3 linked regions of the Macaca mulatta genome follow. The protein of the gene in region 3 interacts with the protein of the main gene of each other region in a pairwise test. Links are inferred from orthologs where the notes say so. Each region holds a gene or a part of one and is shown on either strand. Other genes may lie near its edges.

What was found. The genes of interacting proteins can lie anywhere in the genome.
Region 1: the proteins of KASH5 (region 3) and NRIP3 interact in binary tests that used the Homo sapiens proteins (3 or more experiments, as listed by UniProt). The two-hybrid records come from large-scale screens. The link is inferred for Macaca mulatta from reciprocal best matches to the Homo sapiens genes KASH5 and NRIP3.
Region 2: the proteins of KASH5 (region 3) and SLC41A2 interact in binary tests that used the Homo sapiens proteins (3 or more experiments, as listed by UniProt). The two-hybrid records come from large-scale screens. The link is inferred for Macaca mulatta from reciprocal best matches to the Homo sapiens genes KASH5 and SLC41A2.

The regions. Positions count from the first base shown.
Region 1 is NC_133419.1:56,530,398-56,534,489, forward strand, and holds the start of NRIP3 (nuclear receptor-interacting protein 3), read left to right. Parts: upstream 1-1,292; 5' UTR 1,293-1,935; coding exon 1,936-1,981; intron 1,982-2,313; exon of another isoform or gene 2,314-2,385; coding exon of another isoform or gene 2,386-2,398; coding exon 2,399-2,559; intron 2,560-4,092.
Region 2 is NC_133416.1:112,189,645-112,193,953, reverse strand, and holds the start of SLC41A2 (solute carrier family 41 member 2), read left to right. Parts: upstream 1-1,509; 5' UTR 1,510-1,610; exon of another isoform or gene 1,611-1,712; intron 1,713-4,309. UniProt on the Homo sapiens protein: Acts as a plasma-membrane magnesium transporter. Can also mediate the transport of other divalent metal cations in an order of Ba(2+) > Ni(2+) > Co(2+) > Fe(2+) > Mn(2+).
Region 3 is NC_133424.1:61,841,091-61,844,600, forward strand, and holds part of KASH5 (protein KASH5), read left to right. Parts: intron 1-1,302; coding exon 1,303-1,348; intron 1,349-3,384; coding exon 3,385-3,449; intron 3,450-3,510. UniProt on the Homo sapiens protein: As a component of the LINC (LInker of Nucleoskeleton and Cytoskeleton) complex, involved in the connection between the nuclear lamina and the cytoskeleton.

The DNA of each region.
Region 1 (4,092 bases), on a different chromosome or scaffold from region 3:
GTCACTGTCCCAGCCCAAGCCCTAGGGGCCCTCACTGTTGGACCTGTCCTGATGCCAAGCTCAGAGGCACCTATCCTAGATAGACACGGCAAAGCTGTCTTTCACTGTTCCCTGGGTGACCCACACCTGGAGGAGTTATCAGGCAGGGATCCAGGTGATGGGACAGAAGGGGCCAGGGCAGCCACTGTTGTTCACTGCTGGAAGTGTGCCAGGGGACTGGAAGGTGAGCAGCAATCCCACCTGTCTCCTAGAAACCCTGTCCTCCGTGTGTAGGGGCGTGTAAAGGGTGGGCACACAGGGAAGAATCCAGCCCTGGGGCTTCCTTGAAGCCAAGTGAGCAGCCTTCTGGATTTGTTTTCCCACAGTGTCTGAAACTGGGGCAAGTGTTAAGGCAGAACAGAGGAAAAGCAGCAACTTCATGAGGTCAAACCCAGTCTCTCCAGATCTAGGTAGTCCAGCACAGGTTCTGGGAGTAGATGCCAGCTTTACCACTTGATTTCTTTGGTATAACCTTAACTTTCTGCCATCCTTTCACTAGTATTTATTGAGAATCCTCTGCCTATTAGGGCATCAATGCTAAGCAAAAAACGGATTCAGTCACCTTCCTGGAGGTTCCAATCAGTGGGGGAGACAAATTAAACAACCAGTACCCCCCTACCCCTACCCCCACAGAAAGTGAAATGCCCAAGAGATACATAGTATATAATTAGAGAGACTTCACCCTCTCTGGAAGGTCAGAGAAGGCTTTCCTAAAGAAATGATAATGGAGCTGAGGTCTGGAAGAAGCATAGGAGTTTCCTGAAGAACGTAGGAGGGGACACTGCACACAGAGGGAGCAGGACAGTCAAAGGCAGGCCATTTGGCAACAGGTGACTGGAAGGAACTGGAAGAAGGGCTATGAGGCTGAAGCACAGAGTGGATATGCAGGGTCTAGGCAGACCATGCAAGAATGTGGGTTTCTCTTAGAGCAATAGGAAGCCTTTTGAGGTGCTCTTAGCAGGGAAGTGAGATGATCACACTTATGGTTTGAGAAGATTACTCTGGCAGCACAGTGAACAACGGATTGGAATGGAACTAGGGAGCATTCAGGAGGCCAGACAGAAGGTATCAGGTATTTGCCTGTAAAATGGGGGTGATGAGAATACTATCTTACAAGCTGTTGCCAGGATCCAATGAGATACTACATTTTAAGTGTCTATTCCAGTACCTGGCACATAGTAAAGGCCCAGTAAGCGTCGATATTGTTACTTTTATCATTGGTTCTTTGCTGAGTGCACATATTTCTCATCCAGGTCTGCTCCTGTGTGATGGGGTGGAGGGGGTTGTTGTGGTTTCCAGAATGGAAACGTGGTTTGTGCCAAATCACAACGTCGAGACCAGAATCCAGGATGCCTGAAACCTGATTAGAATGGCTTAAAAATATGTATTCAAGAAGAAAAACGGGTTCCAATCGCTCCTACTAAGGACGCTGGAGGGACGGTGAATGATTCTTTAGATGGTAAGTCCTAGTACTTGTTGAGAAAAACAGGTGCTTCTCTGGTCGGAGAGCAGATGTAGGGCTCGCAGCCGCGTGCGCTCCCGCGGAGGTGGGGGACCCTCGCCACTCCCCCGTTCTATGCCCGCCCGCGGGCTTCCGACCGCACCTGCTCCCCCGGCTCGGAAACGCAGGCCGGGTGCCCGGCTGCAGGCAGAGGGTGCCCGGGGGAGGAGGTCCCGAAAGGCTCCTCCACACGCCTGCACCGGCTGCCCCCTCCCCAGTCACGTGGCCCGGTGGGTGGGGACCGACCTGAAGTTGGAAAAAACCCGACCGCTCCCAACTTCGGAGGGAGCCGCCAGTCCTCCGGGCCCGGGCGGTGGGCGCTGGAGCCCCGGCTGGCGGCGTGGACGTGCGTTTCCGAGAAGCCGAGCAGCGGCGCGGGAGGCGGGACTCGAGGCATGGCCTGGCTGTCGGTTATCCCCGGGTCGGCCACGGCGTGGACAGGTGAGCTGGGACCCGCGGCCAGCGGTGGAGATGGCCGGGGCTGCCAGGGCATCGGGCCCCAGAGCCCACACCCGTCCAAGGGATGCGGGGCTCCCACGCAGGAGGGGGCGGTTGGGTGAAGAGGCCGCTGTGGATTCTCGGCCCGCCGGGTCACTCCCACCAGCGCCGCCGCCTCCTCTCCCGCTTTGCCACCGGGTGAGCAGGGCAAGCGGGACGCCAGGGAGCCTCGCGGGGCGTGGACTCTGTGCCGGCCCCGCCCCCCGCGCGCGCACTGGCTGCTCCACGCGGCGTCACACTCGGCTATAAAAGGTGCGGCGCGGGGCCCTTGCGGCCCTGGAGGAGCTCGAGCTCGAGGCTGAGGCTGCTGGGGAGCCGCGGGCGACCGGGCCGCCGGCGTCTCAAGGATGTTTTACTCAGGGCTTCTCACTGAGGGCGGCCGCAAGGAGACCGACATGCGGGAGGCGGCGTCGCTGCGACAGCAGCGCCGGATGAAGCAGGCGGTGCAGTTCATCCACAAGGACTCCGCCGACCTGCTGCCCCTGGACGGCCTCAAGAAGCTGGGCTCGTCCAAGGACACGGTGAGCCCCCGCCGCCGTTCTTGCCCTGGCCCCGGCGGCTTCGCGCCCGCGGTCTTCCGAGGCCCGGCCGTTGCGGCTTTCACTGAGTCACGGCCCGGCCCGCCGCTGCCCTTGGCTCGCGGTCGCTGCGTCGCGGATTCCTCCCCTTCCAGCACCCCTGCTGCGGTTTTGGTGGGGATTCCGTCCTAGCTTTTCAGCTCGCGCTCGCCTCGGCTGTATCTCCTCCCTGGATGTCTCCTCTCCAGAGGAAGGAAGAGGTCCTGCCCTGCCCTCTTGCCCTCGGGTCTTCTTTCTCTCCCCTTATTCTTAATACCGAATTTTGTTCGTGGGGCTTGTGCCTCCTACGCTGTGTGGCTGGTTCTATGACCCAGACAGAGGTGATTCCTAATGACTTCGTGTGAGGGGGAAAGAAGTGGAAAGGGATTTTTTTTTGACAGTTGCCAGATCCAGAAGATTTTTGTTGAATCCATTGTCCCCCTATGCAAAATCCACTTCTCTAGTTTTGGTCCTATGTACCTTTGACCTTCCATCCTGAGTGGGGAGAGAGAAAAGGGGTCGAATGTGAAGGTTTCCTGAACCCCCAACATCTCTTCATCATTCTCCTCTTCCAGCCCCGCCCCCAAGGAGTGAGTAGAGGGAGGAAGCCAGGCTGCTCCATCTTACCGACCAGCTAATGTGTGCATTTGGGGCTGGGGTGGTTGCAGTCTTTTTTTCTAGCACGGTTTTTCTTGGCATTAAGTAGAAGCACCCCAGGACAGGAGCCCTGGGGTAAAAAATGGTACTGTCCTCTTTCTATAGAATGAAAGGGTGACCAATATAAAGAACTGTATCTGTCATCCCTCAGCCTCTGTAGTGGTCCTGGGTCAAGTTTATGTTTAACTTTGTAGTTTTATCTGGAGTTTTCTTGTAGTTTGATTGTTTTCTTGAATTTCACAATCGCTTTGTTCATTTGGGTGGTAATGTATGAAACGCTAATTAAATGCCTTTTAACAAATGAAATAGGTGCTCTGCATAATTTTTCTAGTATTTTTTATTTTAAGCTTTTGAAATGTTTAATTCTGGATGTGGTTGTTAGCTCTAATTCATTGAAATTGCCATTTCTGGCCCCAGGAGGGCAGAGCTTCTGCATCCATTTCCTTTTTTTTTTTTTTTTTTTTTTAATTTAACAGCTCTAATGACACACAGGTACCAGTATAATTTTTCTCCTCCCTGCCATTAGTTGCTTCTTTGCAGGGTTTGTCTACTTCAGTTATCTTGCTCTGTTTTTTGAAAGTTGTGTTTTTTTGTTTTGCTTTGCTTTTTGCACAAGCTGCAGGATAGTTTCCCTGATTTATGCTAACCCAGAGTGATGAGTGATTGAAATGTGCTCCTGCAAAAGAGGTAACTCTCTTTTCCCTTCTTTTACTTTAAAGCAATCTTGATTCATTTAACAAATCAGGTTCGAGAAATATTCTTTCCTTCAGGCCAAATAATCCTATCCTAGTTCCTAGAATGCTCGTCAATCAATAAAGAAGGAAGTATTATATTAAGAGA
Region 2 (4,309 bases), on a different chromosome or scaffold from region 3:
GAAAGACTACACACTCAGGGGAGGAACACTTACTGGGTGGAACTTCTGCCAGACTTTCAAGAGCAGCTACTTTCTAATGATCTGTAATTCAAAAAACAACCAGAACAAAAACCAGTTGGAAATGCAGTCAAAACATTGCTTTTCCATATTCCTTGCAATTATACTTTCATTTTTAGGTAGTGAGGAACACCAGGATGAACCATTATAAAAAGCATGACTGCAGATGGCCAAGAGTGATACGGACGCACCCTTCACCCTGAAGGTGAAGGTTAAAGCTCAGAGTCTGATTGCAAAGGATAAGGGGGGAAAAAAAACAACAACAAATACAAAAAACAAAACCTGGATAAATGTATGCCGGTGTCCTTCAGCACCAGAAAAAGCTGCTACTAAATCACTGGTGTGGGTTGGAATTGGTAGAGGCTTTGATTTGAGGAAAAGAGTATCATTAGCTGTGTCATTTTGAGTTGTTTTAGAGACAAGGTCTCACTCTGTGTCCCAGACTGGAGTGCACTGATGCGATCACAGCCCCCTGCAGCCTTGAACTCCTGGGCTCAAGCGATCCTTCTACCTCAGTCTCCTAGCTACTTCGGGTCTCTCTGTGTTTACTCAGGCTGGTCTCAAAATTCCTGGCCTCAAGCGATCCTCTCGCCTGGTCCTCCCAAAGTGTTGAAGTTACAGGCATGAGCCACCAATCCTAGCAATAGCTGTGTAATTTGTAAAGTAACAGGCTTCGTACCAACACCTTGCTTTTGTTCACTGTAGTATCCCTGGGGTGTGTCTCATTCCCTGAATCATACACAGTAGATGCTCAATAAATAGTTTTGTAAATAAAATAAATGAGCTCTTGGATTTACCTGCAGACTTTGGATCAGTTTGATCTAGGTTTAAAAGCAAGTGTGGGGAAACTTGAAAAGCCTGGCACCCCAGCCAACTCCTCAGCGCCCCGTGTGCTTGGCGCCTACACCTGCCTGGCACGGGGAGGGTGCTACGGGGCTGCCCTAAACCTCACCCCTTCGGCGGTGGTCCCTGCCCTTCTCGGCTCCTGCACTGCCCACACTATGCGCTGCCGGGCCGAAAGACACGTGCTTCGGTTTTAACCCCTGTCTGCAAGAAATGTGACCTCAGCCAAAAACAGGCCGCTGGTCTGAGAAGAGAAATCATGAGTCATGGATTCGGGGGTTCGGACCTTGGAGCAGGCGGTGAAGTGGGCGTGCGTGGGCTGGTGGGGAAGAGGGCTGCGGAAGGACGCCACAGCCCTTCTCTCCTGGGCAGGATCCCCAGAAAACTGCCCCCTCGCCGTCGTCCAGCGCCCCCGTTCCCGACAGCTGTCTGCCAGGGCGCGGCCGGGGTCCGGGCGGGGCGGCGCTGTCGCTCCAGATCGCCGCCCCGCGGGCCACATCACCAAGGCCCGGGCTTCCCCGGCGGCGGCGCGGCTGCGCTTGCGCGGGACTGCCGCGCGGGGGCGGGGCGGCAGGGAGTCAGGGGGCCGCGGGCGCCGGCGGCCGGGCTGTCAGCTCTGAGACGCCGCGGAGCGAGGAGGCGCGGGAGCAGGAAGGAGCCGTGGGCTGGGAGCCGCTGTCCTCCCCGCCACCACCGGTGCTGGGGACTAGGTGAATGCCCCTTCCATCCCCCGCCCCGGGTGTCTCGGTCCGGTCTGAGGAGACGGGGACCCTTCTCACACCGGCCGCTGCCGCCGCCGCGCTCCGGCACAGGTGACGGTGGAGGGGAAGTCTCGGCTTCAGCCGCTGCACCGCGTTCGGGCGCATCCCAGGTGCAGGAGGGAGGTGGGGCCGAGAGGCCTGGGCTCGGGACCCGGCGGCGGGGGCGCGGGGAGCGGTGGGAGCGGTCCCGCCCGAGTCGCCGTGCCCCCTGCGGACGCCTCCCGGGGCCGCCGGGTAGCGCCCGAGCCCAGGCCCCCGCGCCTGCCCCACATCGGGCGATGGGAAGCTGCTCCGCGGCCGCCGCGGATGAGCGGTCTCGGGCGCCCAAGGCAGGGGCAGGCGGCGGGTGGTTGACTGAGTGATGGCTGAAGGTGAGCTGGGATGGAGATGCTGCGAGGCTGGCTCGGGCACACCCCATATGCCTGTTCAGGGCTCCGCGAGGGCCCCGTCACCCTGTTCTTTCATTCTTCTCTTTATATATATGGAGGATATCTCAATTTTAAAAGCCCAAATGCTCATTTATAGAGAGAGATGACACATATGTATGTGCTACCTATATACATTGATATGTATATTACGTATATATGTCATCTTTTTTTGTAGTGGACAATTTTTAAATTGAGATATACATCACATGCCATAAAACTCATTCTTCTAAAGTGTGGCTTTTAATATATTCACAAAGTTTTCCAAATATGACCACTATCCAGATCATCATCCCCAAAAGAAACCCTGTCTCTCTTAGTAGTCACTCCTCATTTCCCCTTGACCCCACCCCACTAGCCACCACTAATCTACTTGCTGTTTCTGTGGGTTTGCCTGTTGTGGAAATCTCATATAAATGGAAGCGTACAATATGTGGCTTTTTGGTCTGGCGTCTTTCACATACCGTAATGTGTTCAAGTTTCACTCATGTTGTAGTATGTATCAGTACTTTACTTTTTATAGCATATTAATATTGTTGTATCAGTGTACCACATTTGTTTATTCATCAGTTGGTGAACATTTGGGTTGTTTCCAGTTTTTGGCCATTGTGTGTAATGCTGCTATGCACATTTGTGTACAGGTTTTTGTGGACATGTGTTTTCAGTGCTCTTGGGTATATATACCTAGGAGGGCAATTGCTCTGTGTTTAACTTTTTGAGGAACTGCCAAGCAAAGCAGCTGTACCATTTTACATTCCCACCAAGCAGTGTATGAGGGTTCCAATTTCTTCACATCTTCCCCAAGGCTTGTTACTTTTTACTGGTTATTTTTTATTATAGCCATCTTAGTGAGTGTGGAATGGTATCTCTTTGTGGTTTTGATTTGCATTTGTCTAATGAATGGAGATGCTGAGCATCTTTTCATGTGCTTATTGGCCATTCATATATTTTCTTTGGAGAAAATGTCTGTTCATATCTTTTACCCATATTTTAATTGGGTTGCTTGGCGTTTTCTTTTTCTTTACTTATTTACTTACTTATTTATTTATTTATTTTGGAGACTGACTCTCAGTCTGTCACCCAGGCTGGAGTGCAGTGGTGCAATCTTGGCTCACTGCAACCTCCACCTCCGGGGTTCAAGCGATTCTCCTACCTCAGCCTCCCGAGTAGCTGGGACTACAGGCATGCACCACTTTGCCTGGCTAATTTTTGTATTTTTAGTAGAGACATGGTTTCACCATGTTGGCCAGGTTGGTCTCCAACTCCTGAATTCAAGTGATCTGCCCACCTCGGCTTCCCAAAGTGCCGGGATTACAGGCATAAGCCACCGCGGTCAGTCTGGGTTGCTTGGCTTTTTATTGAGTTTTATTGTTCCTTTTTTTTTTTTTTTTTTTGAGACGGAGTCTCGCTCTGTCACCCAGGCTGGAGTGCAGTGGCCGGATCTCAGCTCACTGCAAGCTCCGCCTCCCGGGTTCACGCCATTCTCCAGCCTCAGCCTCCCGAGTAGCTGGGACTACAGGCGCCCGCCGCCTCGCCCGGCTAGTTTTTTGTATTTCTTAATAGAGACGGGGTTTCACCGTGTTAGCCAGGATGGTCTCGATCTCCTGACCTCGTGATCCGTTCGTCTCGGCCTCCCAAAGTGCTGGGATTACAGGCTTGAGCCACCGCGCCCGGCCCTATTCTTCCTTTATGGAAAAAAATTCTATTAATAGGTTTGGATACTGGCACTGACTTGAAAAAAATCCAGCCAATCTGATACTGAAAAACTTAATGCTTACTATTGGGTAAAGGTTGAATAAGTGCCACTTCAGTCTGTAAGAATACCCTATGTGTTCATTCTTGGACATCTTACTGCCCCTTTACATTTACTGCCCTGGTGTTTTGAGCAAGGCTACAGAAGGCATATTCCTGACTGGAGTCAAGAGAGACCACCCTTAATTGGTACTTTCATATATTCTATGCTCAATTTGAAAATCCCTGTTATCACGTTAATTGCAAGTAATTTATATTGGTGGCCAGCTGAACAAACTAACAATAAATGGCAAGAACAAATTACTCAAATTTTTATATGTTTAACTTCTCAGTAAAGTGGAGAATCTTGTTTTCTTAAGTTTGTGCAGTGTAGTTTTTATTACAATTATGTTCATGTGTGGGTGGTAAATAACTATTTTTGATGGCACAAAGGTTAAGAGCCACTTACAGCTAAATGAATGCTGCTGTGCT
Region 3 (3,510 bases):
ATGGGAGCTCTGGAGCTATGACCTCCCTTTGCGTCACCAGAGAAAGGAGGGGAGAAGGGGCTGAGCAGTAGTGGAAGTCGGGGAGGCAAGTGCCATGCGAGTTTCCGAGTTTCCAGAGGGCAGGGGCTGTTTGATCCGAAGGTTGGAAAGCTGGGAGTGAGGAAGCTGGTGAATACAATGGCCCCTAAAGGTAGCCAGTGGTGAGGACTTGGACCTTGAGAGGGGTTGGGTCCCAAGTAGAAGTTTCAGGGGATCAGACAGTGTATGTCTGACTGGGGCCTAAAAGCCTGGATCCCTTATTGCGTGGGAGCACAGCTGTATTCCTGAGGGTATCTCTGAGGGTTTTGGGTCTGAAGCTGGTGGTAGTGGCAACTGCAGGGCTGAATCTCTGCTCCCCAATGAAGGCAGTGGCTGGTGGTGTGGATGGCTGGGTCTCTAAGGGGCATTCAGGCTGGGCAGCTTGAGGCCTGAGTCCCCAAAGCAGCATTTCAGGGACTCAGAGGGCTATGACCCTAGGAGGGGCCTCCCTAGGAGCCTTCCCCCGAGGCAGGGTTGGGAGCCAGATGTCCTCCTAGACCAAGACTCTGAGACTCGCTGAGGGCAGGGCCAGGTCTCATCTCCCAGCCCATAGGCCCAGGGTCTGCTCCTTGGAAGATGTGAGTGAATGAGTGAATGAGTGAATGAGTGGCATGCTGACCCCTCAGTCCTCCTGGAAGAGGGGCTTGCACACCTGAGAGGACTGGGCATGGGGAAGAGCTCCAGCAGTTGGGTTCTGTGGGCTGGGAGGTCTGAGTTGGAGTCCCAGTCCTCAGACAGTACCCAGTGACAGCCATTGAAAAATGGCTCAACCCACTAGACAGGAAGGGCGTTTCAACACGTGCTCTGGGGCCTTACAGAGGCCTGAATCTCTGGTACTTTGGAGGGTGAGAAAGCTGGAAGCCTCAGTTCCCAGCTGGGGGATCCGCTGGGGAAGTAGTGGCTGAGAAAACCACTCTGAGATGAAGAGGCCCCCTTATTCTTTTAGTGGGCACAGACCCTTTGGATCATTTTTTGAAAATTCATGTGAAAAACACATATGCAGGACACCCCCCGGGCCCGTCCATGCTGCCTGGCCTCCCCCAGGCCCATCTGTGCTGCCTGGCCTCCCCCAGGCCCGTCCATGCTGCCTGGCCTCCCCCAGGCCTGTCCATGCTCCCGGGCCTGTGCTAAGACCCTGCTCCAAGGCTTCCCTCCCAGCCCATAGTAGGCAAAGGGAACCAGGGAGGAGAGGACGATGCCAGCAGTGACTTTGTTGGCCCTCAGGTTGACCGGAAGAGAGGAAGAGGAGGATGCAGAGAGCCAGGTCACGGTAGGCAGTCCGCAGCACCCCTCCCCAGTCCCCATCCACTCCAAGCCCGCAGAGGCTGAGTCGTTCATTTCAACTCTTCCCAAGCCCCAACCTCACACCCCAACTCCTCAGGAGCAGAGAGAAAAATCATTTGGCCAAGAGATAACAAGGCCCTTGCTGTAGCTAATGAGAGCTATGGCGAGGTAGGGGGAGGCCTGGAGGCTGGTGGGCGGCCAGGCTGCTCCCAGGGGAGCCCCCCAGCCACACACACAGGGCTGCAGCCACCACACCGCAGGCCTTGTAGACATGGCTGCACCCCCGGATTGCATAAATGCACACGCACATGTGCCCACACTCGGGAGAGGTTGGGCTGGCCCTCCCCAGCCAGCCTCAGAACTCCCTGGGGGCACAGTGCCCACAGCCCCCCTGCCTGCAGCCACACAGGCCAGCTCCTCTGCTCCTCAGAGCCCAGTGCCCGGTGGAGGTGAGGATTTCTGTTCTCAGGCAAGGACAGGGAAAGAAACTCGGTAAGGAGAGGTGAGGAGCCCTCGGTTCTGAGCTGAGGAAGGCAGGAGCTGGGCTGGAGTCTGCCTGTTGTGTGTCAGGCACTGTCAGGGCCCTTGGGGCTCTCCAGGGTCCAAACTGGCCAAGATGGCTGCCTCCATGACGCTTAGCTCCCAGCGCCCTGGCCCCGAAGCCCACCTCCTCTCGACATACCACACTCCCTTGCAGAGACTGGGCTCCACCTCAGCTTCCTCACAGCTCACACGGGGATAATCTCTTCCTAGCTCCTAGGGTGGGGAGGAGGGTTAAGGACCACGTCATAAAGGGCCTGGGTCCCTGCCTGGCACAGCAGGTGGTAAAGGTGAACATATTGATTGTGATCGGTGTTCTGTTTTTATTTACTGCCATTATTATTGTCATTCATCATCCTCATCTGAGTCGAAAAGGTGTGGGGGTAGGAAGGCCAGAGACCCATAGAGGTGAGGCCCTTCCAGGGAGACATGGGGGATGAGGCGGCACAGTGAGTGGGGCCTAACCCTGGAGGGACAGCTGGGGCTTTGATCTTTGAATCTTCAGATGAGGTGTTGGAATTAATCAGTGAATTTAGCATAGTTGCTGGGTGAAAGGTCAAAATAAAAAATCAATCATATTTCAGTATAGCAACCATGAACAATGAGAACAATACATTTGTAATTATGCCATTTATAATGGCATGGTGTTTTTGTTTTGTTTTTGTTTTTGAGACGGAGTCTCGTTCTGTCGCCAGGCTGAAGTGCAGGGGCGTGATCTCAGCTCACTGCAACCTCAGCCTCCTGGGTTCAAGCGATTCTCATGCCTCAGCCTCCTGAGTAGCTCGGATTACAGGCACGTGCCACTACACCCAGCTAATTTTTGTATTTTTAGTAGAAACGTGGTTTTGCCATGTTGGCCAGGATGGTCTCCATATCCTGACCTTGTGATCCGCCCGCCTCAGCCTCCCAAGGTGCTGGGATTACAGGCGTGAGCCACCGCGCCTGGCCTATAATGGCGTGTTTTTAATTAGTAAAGCGTCTGCTGATTCTGGCATAGGCAGGAAGACAGGATTCTGCATGAGGCCAGCACAGGGGTGGGCACCTGTGGAAGATGTGGTCTCTGCCCTCGGAGAGCTTACATACTTCCAGAATCCAGTGGAAAATGGAGGTGATGATATTGAATAGCTCACACAGACACGGAGCACTCACTAGGTACCAGGCGCTGTCCAAGCTACTGCCCCCACCTTTTTTTCCCCCCACATTTACTCATTTAGTCACCATGTTAACCCTATGAGGTGGGGACATCCCTGGCCAGCAGATGCGGAAAGAGAGGCACGGAGAGGTGTGGTGACATGCCAAGGACCCTCAGCCAGAGGCTGGCAGAACTGGGAACCCAACCTGGCAGCGCATCTCAGAGAAGTGCACTCACTTAACTCCTGAGCTCCACCACCTTCTGTGTGGTCGCTTATGTCCAGTGGGCTGACCTGAGGACCTCTCAGTCCAGAACCCAGTGCTTCAAATGAATCTCTTTTGTCCTCCCAGGCTGATCTCCCTATGCCTCTAGGAGACCCTCGCCCTGGAGACATCCCAGAAAGCCCTCCAGAGAGGTAATAGGACCCACGGGGTCCGGGAGGGAAACTGGGGACAAGGAAAAACCCAGTAGTGATT